Sus scrofa: one gene and its partners. The protein of the gene in region 1 purifies or fractionates together with the protein of each later gene. This does not show direct contact. Links are inferred from orthologs where the notes say so. Each region holds a gene or a part of one and is shown on either strand. Other genes may lie near its edges.

What was found.
Region 2: the proteins of SLC39A11 (region 1) and GALNT16 purify together in Homo sapiens (co-immunoprecipitation; 3 studies listed by BioGRID and IntAct, counting the BioPlex papers as one, with this or other methods). This does not show direct contact. The link is inferred for Sus scrofa from reciprocal best matches to the Homo sapiens genes SLC39A11 and GALNT16.
Region 3: the proteins of SLC39A11 (region 1) and FAM174A purify together in Homo sapiens (co-immunoprecipitation; 3 studies listed by BioGRID and IntAct, counting the BioPlex papers as one, with this or other methods). This does not show direct contact. The link is inferred for Sus scrofa from reciprocal best matches to the Homo sapiens genes SLC39A11 and FAM174A.

What each region holds. Positions count from the first base shown.
Region 1 is NC_010454.4:7,885,195-7,888,810, forward strand, and holds part of SLC39A11 (zinc transporter ZIP11), read left to right. Parts: intron 1-1,068; coding exon 1,069-1,227; intron 1,228-3,616. UniProt on the Homo sapiens protein: Zinc importer that regulates cytosolic zinc concentrations either via zinc influx from the extracellular compartment or efflux from intracellular organelles such as Golgi apparatus. May transport copper ions as well.
Region 2 is NC_010449.5:92,927,321-92,931,676, forward strand, and holds the start of GALNT16 (polypeptide N-acetylgalactosaminyltransferase 16), read left to right. Parts: upstream 1-1,513; 5' UTR 1,514-1,680; intron 1,681-2,051; exon of another isoform or gene 2,052-2,069; 5' UTR 2,070-2,182; coding exon 2,183-2,359; intron 2,360-4,356. UniProt on the Homo sapiens protein: Catalyzes the initial reaction in O-linked oligosaccharide biosynthesis, the transfer of an N-acetyl-D-galactosamine residue to a serine or threonine residue on the protein receptor.
Region 3 is NC_010444.4:106,553,925-106,558,109, forward strand, and holds the start of FAM174A (membrane protein FAM174A), read left to right. Parts: upstream 1-1,317; 5' UTR 1,318-1,563; coding exon 1,564-2,000; intron 2,001-4,185.

The DNA of each region.
Region 1 (3,616 bases):
AGCCGTGGATGAGTGTTTCATTCACTCACACTGGACAGCTTTTGATCAAATTGACCTCACTGAGATTGGAGTCCAGCTTCATTTCTCTCTTTTCCTTCAGGTTCGCGCCCCCCCTCCCCAGCCCCTCCAGCCCCTGTTGAGTTTTGAAGGTCCCATTTGCTCAGTTCTCTGGATCTGCCACTTTTTGGCTCTGTGACCTTGAGCAAATGATCTTATTACTTTGAGATTCAGTTTCCTTATCTTCAAATAGCAATAGAAACAACATCTTCCTCCCAGCATTGTTGGGGTGAAAAAAGAAGACATCAAATGTGAAACTTTAGTCCCTGGAAATAGTAGGTGATCAATAAATATTCATTCCCTTCTTCCTTTTTAGAGATGAGAAAATGGATGAGCCTGAGCTAACATGGTCTCACTGGTTGTCTTCAAATACTTCAAGGGCTGTCACGCAGCACAGAGGAAAGACACATTGCTTTGGTGCTCTAGAGAGCAGACCTGGAGCAAATGGGTCAAAACAGAAAGTAGACAGCTTTCAGCTCAACATAAGGAAAAGCTTTGGAGAGCTGTCTCATGGCCAGTGCAGTGGAGCTCACGAAGTAGTGAGCAACTGGTCCTGGAAGTATTCAGTCAGCATAGATTTTCTCGCCAGTGCTGTTGGCCTTTGAAGCCAGATAATTCTTTGTTGTCAGGGGCTGTCATGTGCATTGCAAGACGTTTACCAGCATCTCTGGCCTCTGCTCACTAGATGCTATTGGCAACCTCTGCCTTGCTCCCTGCCCTTCTTGTGACAACCAAAAATGTTTCCAGGTATCTCTGGGAAGGCAAAAGTATCCCTGATTGAGAAGCATCGAACTAGAGGCTAGATGACAGCAAACTAGACTTCCACTTCCCAAGGTCCCCTCCATCCGACCCCACACTGCATTCTTAACAACAGTAGAATTCTAATGGTGGGTCAGTTACCATCGAGGCTACCCAGGTGACGTGGCGTAGTTCAGTTTGGGCCCTAGAGAGCAAGTGAAGCTCCCCTTCTGGGGGTGGTTTAATGGTTTGCTGTTTATCGTGGTTTTGCAGGTCATGTTGGCGGCTTCCTACTGGTCCCTCCTGGCGCCAGCGGTGGAGATGGCCACATCCTCTGGCGGCTTTGGGGCCTTGGCCTTTTTCCCCGTGGCTGTCGGCTTCACCCTCGGAGCTGCTTTCGTCTACGTGGCGGACCTCCTGATGCCTCACCTGGTGAGCTCCGCGCCCCCTGGGGGCTCCGTGTCAGGATGTAGTCGAGCTCTGTGCTGTAGATATACTTCTGTTCCAACTTGACATCCCTGGTCGTGTCTCTTAGGTAGCCAGTGATATTGAACTTGATTATTTCAAGCCACTTAGGGCTTTTATCTAGAGGAATTGGATTGCAACTTCATTCCCCAAAGAAAATAAGCTTTGCTGAGTATGACTCATCATCCCCTTAGTTATGTTATGGTAAAGTTCAGATTTTAAATGTCAGATCTCATCACAATTATAGAAAACAGCTGACGTCGTTTGAGGCGACACTGTACGTAGGAGTGGACCTGACACTGGGAGACGGGAGTGGCCGTGATGGTGGTCCTGACCTTTAAAGAGCTTATGGTGTCACCAGGGAGATGACAACACACCCAGCTACCACCCAAGACCATGGACAAGGGCTTTTTAACAGGAGGATGAGGTGGCTTGGGTTGGGGAATGAGCATGTACTTGCTTGCAGAGAAGCATGATATGCACACCAGCCTGAAGTCTGGCTGCGGTCACTGAACAGAGAGCCAAAGCCGGGCCCTGAACTCACGACCCAAGGCCGTTGGCTAAAATGGGGTTGGCTGAAGGGTCCATGATGATAAAGATCCAGTGCAGGCACATGTCACCTTACCAGATGCTGTGTACCAGCAAGTCCCAGAGGTGGCCAGAAGCCCCCCAGAGAGACCTGAGCTGGCGCCTGATATCCCTGCTCTCCCAGGAAGGGAGGAGGCACAGGAAGGACCATGTGGGGAGAGCTGAGTTTCTCTGCTGGATCGTCGGCTGGGCCTGTACCCCAGGAGGCAGGCTCACGTTCACTCCACTCCCCTGCCCACCTGCCTTCTTTCTCCCCCGCTGGGGAGGGAGGAGGAAGAATTCCTGGGCACTTGGCCCAGGCACTCCTGAGAAAGTGATGACTCCTGTCCCAGAAAGACCCCCTCTGACCAAACAGCTGGGCGCGATGGTTGGGAAGAGAGCCATGCTATTGTCTCAGAGGAAAGACCACACGGCAGTTTTGTTCATTGAAAGCTTGCATGGCCGTGTCAGTTTCTGCCCCCGGACCCTCTGCTTCCTTGCCGTCAAATACGTCCACTTGGTAACGGCTTTGAGAGGTCCTCCCTGTGGCTGCCCTCACACGCCACCCCCGCCCCCCCCCGGTTATGTGTACACTTGCTGTTGGAGTGTGTCCTCACCCTGGCGGGAAGATCTGGCAGCCAGTGGCCTTCACTCCTGATGAGCAGACAGGGGGCTGGCTCTGCACAGCCCCTGCTGGGTCTCCTCCTGCCCTGCCCACCTGGCTCCACCTGTGGGCTTCCAAGGCAGTATCTTGCAGAGGGCTCTTTGCAGTCGTGATGGGTCACCATTCCCTGCTCCTGGGGCCAGGAAGTGGGGAGGGCAGGTGTATTTGATCAGCTGTCTGAATGTTGAGGCTTTATCTGGGCAGTGCAAATAGTCATTGAGCAATTTGTTCTGTGCTGTGGTACTTTTTTTTCCCCTCGTCTTTTTTTTAACCTCCTGCTTCCTTATTTATTCTACTGTATGCTTTCAATATAGAGAAGATCCCAGGGGAACGTCTTGGATAGACTACACAGAAAATTAGGAAAGGGCTCCAAAAAGGCATAATAACTATTAACGCTCAGAACCTCGCTAAACGGGCAGAAAGATCAGCCTGGCAGCAAACATCTGTTCCAGGACATTTCGAAAGAAATTGGTTCTTGCTGTTGATGTGAGAAAGGCAGTTTGTCTTGGAAAGTCTTATAAACAGATAAGCATTATTTATAATTGCTGCAGTCACTGAATACAAAGGTGGTCATACCAACGGTTCTTGGGAGCCGTCTGTCCACGCTGAGACGGGCTGGAGGTTTCCCTGGGTTTCATTATGACTTTGCTTACCCAGAGACGGCGGCAGCTTGGACCTATGGACGATGCTTGGCAGAATCTGAGTGAATGGGTTTACTTTTTTTTTTTGTCTTTTTAGGGCTGGCTGCAGCTGCTGGCCTACACCAGAGCCACAGCAACACTGGATCTTTAACTCACTGAGGGAGGCCAGGGATCAAACCCACATCCTCATGGATGTTAGCTGAGTTCATTACCACTGAGCCACAATGAGAACTCCATGAGTGACTGGGTTTTGATCTTGAGTCTGTGTGGGTTGTCTAGCATTGGCTGAACACCCCCCAGGGAATACAGTCTTCTAGGGGTGTGGGGCGGGCGGCAAGAATTTGGTTTCAAACCCTCACTGCAGTGGGAGTTTAGGAACCAGGAATTTTGTGGGTCAGCTCAGACCGAGATCTTTTCAGTTTCCCGTTCATTCCACTTTATGACAGAGCCCCACTGTTCGGAGTTCCTGTTGTGGCCCAGCAGG
Region 2 (4,356 bases), on another chromosome or scaffold:
ACTCAAACCCCCACTTCTGCAGTGACCGTAGCCATTGCAGCCAGATTTTTTTTTTTTTTTTGCCTTTTCTGGGGCCGCTCCTGTGGCATATGGAGGTTCCCAGGCTAGGGGTCTAATTGGGGCTGTAGCTGCTGGCCTACGCCAGAGGCACAGCAACAAGGGATCAGAGCTGCATCTGCGACCTACACCACAGCTCACAGCAACATCGGATCCTTAACCCACTGAGCAAGGCCAGGGGTCAAACCCAAAACCTCATGGTTCCTAGTCAGATTCGTTAACCATTGAGCCACGATGGGAACTCCATTGCAGCCAGATTCTTAGCCCACTGCACCACAGCAGGGACTCCCAGGGTCACAGTCTTGGTGGGGTCATTTGGGGTGTCCTAGTGGTTAGTCTTCTGAGTAAGGAAAGGGTATTACAGTCACAACGATGACCTTTCTGCAGCAAAAAACCCATTAGGGTTTCCTTTCTTCATTTCACTTCCTTCTAACAGAAATGCATTGAGCATCTATTACATGCTTCAGTCCTGCGGGCTGGGGAACCAGGGAAATGAGTGATGCTGATGGGGCGGTCAGGGGAAAACATGAACTGTGATTTCACCATTTGCCTGATTCTCGAGGCAGCTTCATTTAGAGGCCAGGACCCACATGAACCAGTGTCCAGGGGCACCAGCAAGATGCAAACTCCCTGACAACCATGCTCCTCACCTTCAAAGTCCTCCTGAGTCCAGACTCGCCCAGACTGGCCAATCTCAATTCCCACCAAGAACTTCCCAGCACCCCAGGCCCCAGTAATGCCAGGTAGCTCTCTTCCTTGAAAACATCAAGTGCTTTCATCCTCTGGACCTTTGCTCAGGCTGTTCAGGCAGCTGACACCCTGCCCTGTCCTCGCCTTGCCAGCCTCTTAAGAATCTATTCAAAGGATTTATCCACCTTCTGTGAGAAGCCTTCCCCTAAGACACCCTTGCAATACATTATGTCTTCCTCTGTGACCCCTGCTTGGTTTATTTAACATCTGTTCACTGAGTATCTGCTCTGTGCCCGACCCTGTGCAGGTCTCCTGGAACAGGGGTAGTTCCGCCTGGGATGTCAGTAGTTAACATCAGATTCTCAATGCCACCAGGGATGGGACCGAATCTCAATGATTTCTGTGTTTGTGTCTCTCACTCCCGTGTTTTGCACTTTGTGGAAAGTGTCAGACAGAGAGGTGGCTTCTAGACTGGGCTCTGCCCACTAATTAGTCGTGTGATCTTGGGCGAATCTTCCGGCCCCTCTGGTCTCCCTTCTTCCTGATGATAAAACCCCAGCGTTGTTCAGGGGACAACGAGGCAGGGTACAGGGAGGCATCACGAAAGCTGGGAGCTCCCGGCCAGTGAAAGAGGTGGGGTGACGGTACCCTATTCTCCGTTCACTGGCTCTGAAGCAGCGCCGCTTCCCCTTCGCTCTCTTCGAATGTCAAGTGCACCAGCTTCCAATCCCTCCTCGGGGCGGGCCCTCTGGCAGCTCGGAATCCTAGGCTGCGGAGGATTCCAGTGCAAACTCTAGACTCTACTCCCGCCCAGCCGCCCCTTCCCAAGGACTCGCCGAACACACCTTAAACCTCGCTCCAGAGCGCAGTTCAGAGCGCAGTCCAGGACCGCGGCTCCGCGGCGCGGGCCCGGGCCGGGGTCGCGCATCTCCGGTCGGTGACTCAAGGCCGCTGGGTCCGGGGGTGGGTGAAGGTAGGCGGGACCGACCAGCGCCGCGCGGAGGCAGCCGCCGGGAGCTCGGCCGCCCAGCAGTGGAAGCCGAGACTGGCTCTGGCCCATCGCCATTCCGCCGCGGGCGTCTGCCTCGCCCGGCCTTCCTCCCGCGCGGCTTCGCACCCGCCGCACTCCTCTCCCTGGGCGCAGCAGCCCCGCGGCCGGCGGGGGCTGGAGTTCGGGGCGGGCTCTGCGCGCGAATGAATGGGCGCTCGGGGGACGCGCGCGCCTGGGGCTGAAGGGCATTAGGACCATGAGGATCGCTCCGCGCTCCTGTCTCTCCCTATCACCCCCCCACCCCCACCTCTCTCCTTTTTCTGCGCTGCAGGACTGAGCAGCCCGGCGCGAGCGAAAACAAACAGCTGGGGCTGCGAGTGCCCCCTTTCCGGCCCCAAGAGCACGCCGGCCCGGGCCCCTACTCGGGGCGCTCGCCCGCCCACCATGAGGAAGATCCGAGCCAATGCCATCGCCATCCTGACGGTAGCCTGGATCCTGGGCACTTTCTACTACTTATGGCAGGACAACCGAGCCCACGCAGCATCCTCCGGCGGCCGGGGCTTGCAGAGGGCCGGCAGGAGGCCGGAGCAGCTCCGCGAGGACCGCACCATCCCGCTCATTGTGAGTACGCGCTGTGCGCGGGGCGGCCGGCAACGGAGGCGCGCTTCCTAGCCCCGCGCGGCTGCAGAGGGCGCGGGGCCGGGCCAGGGGCTGCGTGCCCGCCGCGCCCCGCCAGCATTGTATATGTTGGAGCATTCCTGTCCGTTGTTATGGCAACCGCTCTCGGGCTAGCGGGGCCAGGGCGCAAGGATGGAGGGAGGGTGACAGCGAGTGGGGGCTGGGAGAAAGTGCTGCAAGTTTGGTGGGCCCGGCGTCCGCGCACGACTGGGAACGTGGCCGCTTTCTCAACACTGCGCCGCCTGGGCCGGGGGCTGCCGGTGCGTTCCCCCGCCCTGGAAGGCAGCTGAACCTTGAGCGCAGACAGCCGGCAGTGGAAACCGCTGGGTGCTGAGCGCGTAGGTGGCCACGCGCACCCCCTCTCTAGCCTCCTGGGGGCAAAAGATGTGTGGCGGGGACGCGGGGTGAGGCTGGGTCACTAGGGGCTGTGCTGGACTTTGAGCTCCCTTTTCAGCCCGGGTAAACTTGAGTTTGCTTCTTTGGCACGGAGGACTCCCCGCTATTGGGGATGTCAGGGTCGCGGAAAGCTGTTGTCCAGTACACGTCCCCCACCCCCACACCAGTCCATCACGACGAGTGAACCAGCAGCGTCTGCGCCCAGGTTCGGAGATAGCCTCTCACGAGATGGGCCCGCGACGTCAATGCGAGCCGGGAAACCAAGTCGGCAGGGCAAGCGGGGTGGGGGGCCTCCGCGGAGGGGCAAGGGCGGGAGCGCCCTCCAGGCGCTCTGGGGACCTGGGCCAGCGCGTACTTGTCTCGGCCTCCGCCCAGGTAGCAAGCAGCTCGTGTGGCTGGGGCACCTGTTGAGACGGGAGGCTCCGGGACCCGCAAGAGGCTCGCTCCAGGCGGGCCGCGTTCTTTCGCTGCAGGGCTGCAGGCGAGCGGTGGGCGAGACTCTTGGGCGACAGCCGGGACGAATTGCTGGGCGAGGGCAGTCTAGCCAGGAGGAAGGAGAGCAAAGGGGCTGAGAGTGGGAGAGTGGAGCCGGGTGGCCATTCTGGAAGATCTGGGCCTGGGGCGGGAGGGCGGTGGGAGCTCCTGGAGAGGCGCAGAGTCAGGAGGGCCGAAGGCTGGTGTGGAGCAGAATCTGAGCTATTTGTACCAAGGCAGCTGAGCTCCAGGAATATAGTGTGTCTGTCGGGGCGTTGTGTGTGTGGAAGTGCTCTCATATTCCCATCTTGCGGCAGCTTCCGTGTCTTGTTACCCACCCAGAAAGAAGTAAAAATCCTCTGCCAAAGAATCGTATTTCCAGGCTTTGCCTGAGGAGACCTTGGGGTTTGCAGGGGAGTTTTCCCCAGCTCGACACCCACCCCCACCCCCAGCTTCCCAGATCCCTGAGGTCTCTGGGGGCAGCCTTATTACGTGGAGTGTTTCCTTCTAGGCTGAGGGTTCCTGCCACTAGGGCACTGTTTCCAAAGCACTTGTGGATGTTTGGACAGAAAGGCTGATGAAGAAAAAGCCTCCTCTGTAAAGATCCTGGAGTGCTGGGTTAGAGACACATTAGACAGATTAGAGTCGGAACTGGGCACTAGGGCTGTGGCCTGGGACCCTAAGGGAGGGTCCACAGTGGGGACTCTTCCCAACTGAGCTGCCTGGTTCTTACTCTCTGAGAGGGGCAGCTCTGGGCCAGGGTAGGCGGGCTTGGAATGGCAGGGGAGAGGCAGGCTGGCCAGATGTTCTGTCCTTCTCTGTGGTGACGTGATGGAGGAGGGTCTGAGCTGGAAGAGGGGGAGGAGGGGAGGGAGGAGGGGGAATGGAAGGCAGGAGCACCGGGAAACTGCAGCTCAGGAGCCCGCGGCTGGTCTCCTCACAGGTGCTTCGGTTTCAGAATCCCGGAAGACCATTCAGACCTGCGAAATGATGAAAGCCTGGGATTGGGGGGGTGTGTGGGTGGTGGTGGGGGTGTTGGGGATACTGGTGGAGGCTGATGGCACTTGTTT
Region 3 (4,185 bases), on another chromosome or scaffold:
TTTTTTTTTTTTTTGGCTTTCAATGAGTTAATTACTGGACTTTTTTGAGAAGTAGAAGGAAGTGGCATTACATACTAACCCTATTCCATGTATGGCTTTGAATAAGGTTGTTAATAAAGGAGACAGGAAACCCAAGGAGCCACCTCATTACTGAAAATGCCCAGGTAGGAAGCTAAAATTGGGGTGTGTCACCAATGGATTTCCTCACACTAGAACCCAGCATTAAGACACCGAGGCCTTGTAATTCTACACTGCAGAAGCAACTGCATTACTCTGTCACCCTGAAGCAGGCAGAAGACACTATCCTGTCCACCTTATCTACAAAAATCCTTTAGAAAAATTTTATTGTAGATTCTATACCTGTTATTTACGACACACTTCCAAATTCAGAATGAATGCAACTGTTCATTGTGTTATCTCCATTTGAACCTAAGTGCTATAAGAGCAAGGACCATGTCCTACTCCTCTACTATTCAGTACTCAGACACAGTGCTAAGCAAGGAGTGAAATATCTGAACAATGCTAAATGAATAATTTTTTTAAAAAACAAATACTAACTTCAACTTCTGGTCTGGTGTTTTGTTTGTATGTTTGCATCTGCTCAAATCAAAGTTCCACGTCACTGATGTCAACGTTAAACAGGCAAAGAAAACTTTATTCAACATTATTGCAACAGAGGAGAGAGGCCAGGACTCTGATCTCAACTCACCAAAAAGTAACAAAAAACTTAAGAGATTTAAGAACAGGGAGCACCTCAGGCCAATTATGATTACTAAATGAAATTACCCAAGAGAAAAGTAAATTTTTCTTTCAGCTTCCTGACAGGAGATAGTTCTACAACTCTGAACAAGGTGCCCCCCTAAATTAGGCTCCTACCCTTCCACAGAGACTGGGAGCTAGTGCTATCTTTGTTGACATTTCAAAAGGATGGCTCCTAATTCTTTAATAAAGAGCCCTGGATATTAACACCACCAATACCGTTTTAAAGATTTATATTTCAAAAACACAGAAAATAAATGCACAGTTACAAGTTTTCTAACATCAATGCTCTAAGGAAGAAAGCCGTATAAAATTTGTACCTGAGCTGAGGGAAACGTCAAAGCGGTCTTAATAAACAATAAGCTGCATATCTGCAGTTTTGCACAAACGAACTCAAATTAGGAGCTTCCAATCTCTTAAAGTATTTTCATGCAAAGTGTTGCTGCACATTTTACACTACTCTCTTTTGTTTACTTTGTTACTAGGGAACCAACCACAGAGGGTTTCCCCTGGCCCGCAGGCAGGGTGCCTGCGCTAGTGGCCTTGCGCGCCTGACGTCACTAAAGGCGCCGTCCCTGGCATGTTAGCAACCGAAAGCGTCCCTAGTAGCAGGGCTGCTGAGATGTACGAACTTCCGGTTCTCCCGGCAGCTGCAGCAGCTGCCGCCTGTGCCACCTGCTGCGGCGGGCCTTAGCCCGGGATTTGGTCACCCTTTCTTCGTTCTTCGCTGCTCCCATGGTCCCACCTGGAGCCAGGGCGGTGGGCCCCGAAGCTCCCACGTGGTGAGAGGGCCGTCCGGGGACGATGAAGGCAACGCACTATCGCTGCTGCCTCAGCCACCTCCTCGCCTCCGCCCTCCTGCTGTTGCTACTACTGCCAGAGTTGAGAGGGCCTTTGGCGGTGCTGCTGCAGGCGGCTGAGGCCGCGCAGGATCCCGGGCCTCCAGACCGTGGGCCGAGGACCCTGCAACCTCTGCCACCTGGCCCCACAGCTCCCCAGTCCCCAGGCCGCGCTCAGGCCGAAGCCACAGGACCACGGGGCGCAGAGGGCGGCAATGGCAGCTTTCCTGGGGCGGAGCTTGCTGCCGACCCAGGCGGGAAGGCGGGGGAAGAAGGCTCAGTGGGTGGCGTCCTTGCTGTGAGCCCTAACCCCAGCGACAAGCCCATGACCCAGCGGGCCCTGACCGTGTTGATGGTGGTGAGTGGTGCGGTGCTGGTGTACTTCGTCGTCAGGACGGTCAGGTGAGGCGAAGCCTCGATGAGCCTCCTTTGCAGGCCCAGTGAGTGACCTGGCATTGCCCTCTCCCCGCCCCCAGTATCATGGGTGCAGACCTGTGATAACTGTCTTAAAAACCTGTGGTACCTTTGGGAGAATTTAGACCACCAAGTGTTTCTCTCTTTCATTTATAAATTATAAATTAGTACCCAATTTCTAAATCAATATTTATATGAGTAACTGAATGGTAATACGGAATGATCTTATTATAGTATTTTATAAAATGTAAAAGAAGAAAAGTTCTTTTAGCAGCAGTTTCTTAGTGTTGGCTTTTAATCCGTCACCTTAATAATTTTCTTGTACCATATGAAGTTTTATACATTCCACCTTTTTTGATCTGGGAAAGTGAAAATTTGGTATGACAGTCACTAATAGTGACTAATAGTCACTGATATGACTTTGTCATAGTCACTATTAGAAACATCTAGGTATTCATTTTGCATGCCACAAAGTAATCCAAAGCGAAGTGTTACTAGTTGCATGATAAGATGGAAAACTGTTACCTATGCATCAAAGGGGAAAAAAATGTCATAAATATGATCTAGTTTTAATATTGGAACGTATGCTTAATATCCTAACAAAACTAAGTATATCTGATTTTAAATTTACAAAAATTTGAATTAGTAAATCAAATTAGTAAATTTGATATTTCACACACAAAAAAACCTTTCTAAAATGAAGTCATCTATAAATAGCAATCCCAAATCATTCAGAAGTTTAATTTTCAAAATGAGTATTTTTGAGCCTATTCCTACTACAGAATGTTAGATTGTAGAATTATCTGAATTTCAGATTCCATACAGATATGGACACTTAATGACATCTTTCACTTTACATATGATGAAACTGACCCAGAAGGGTAAAGTGATTTAACTGGTGTCCTGAGGGATCTAATAATCTTCTGTGATTGTACAATCCACTGTTTGCTTTGTTTGAATTTTTTTTTTCCATTAGCACAGTTTCTATATCTTAACCTATGATCAACCTTTTGATTAAGTAAACCAGGTTATTATGTTGTACCAGGTTATGAATAAATGTAGATGACTGTCACTTATTTTTCTACTCCCCTTAATGCCTTATCAAGTAGAAAAGGAATTAAAAATTCCTATTAGTGATATTGTTATTGTTATAAGCAGCTCTACTTGACACATTCCATTGTTACTGAAGTGAAGTTATATTATGGCACCAATCATTTTAAAATATTCTATGTAATAAGACTGATTTGGAAAATCTATTATAAAGCCTCTTTAGGTTAATTGGGGACCACCTTTTTGAAGGGTTGACATGCGAAGTCAAGACCTCAGTGTTAGAAGACCCAACCAAGAGAAGAGCTGAGGAAACATTGTCTAGTTTCCTCCTTTATAGAGTGTAGGTTTACAGGAATGCAGAGGTTTATTGTTTTAGAAAATAATTCACATTTTTTAATATGATTGCCTACCTGTACTATTTCATATATATTTTAAAATAGATTTAAATTGAAAGTTTCATTTTAAACATCTATTTATTATCTTGTGAAAGGAAAACCAACATCCCTTGGCTTAAATAACTAATTTTAAAAGTACTATGTAAACCAGTGGTTCTTGACATGTGGTCCAGGGAACCCTGGAGGGTATGAGGGCTCTCTGAGCCCTCTTCCTGGGATCTGTAAGAATTATTTTCAAAGTAATATATTCTCTTATAGGTTTATAGGTTCAAATTCATTGATGTAGTTTCAAATTCCACAGTGCGACTAACTTTTAAGAAACCACCTCATGTTGAGTTTTGCTATTACTATCAAAAAAGAAAAAACACCAGTATCTACCATATTTTTTTTTTTCCCACTGTACAGCAAGGGGGTCAGGTTATCCTTACATGTATACATTACAATTACAGTTTTTCCCCCACCCTTTCTTCTGTTGCAACATGAGTATCTAGACATAGTTCTCAACATCTACCATATTTTGTACATTGTTCTATACTGGGAATATAGTAGAGAATAAGACGGACAATGAGTCTTTTCTCATAAAGACTATATATTAATCTTAGAAAGCCTACTTGGTTCCTTCTATATATTTTCCAGTTTCTACAGAGGTGATCTAATTGCTGTTTGGAATATTTCCCAAGTTATTTCTAGTTACATATTTGTTATAACTGAATTAGAGTAAAACAAAA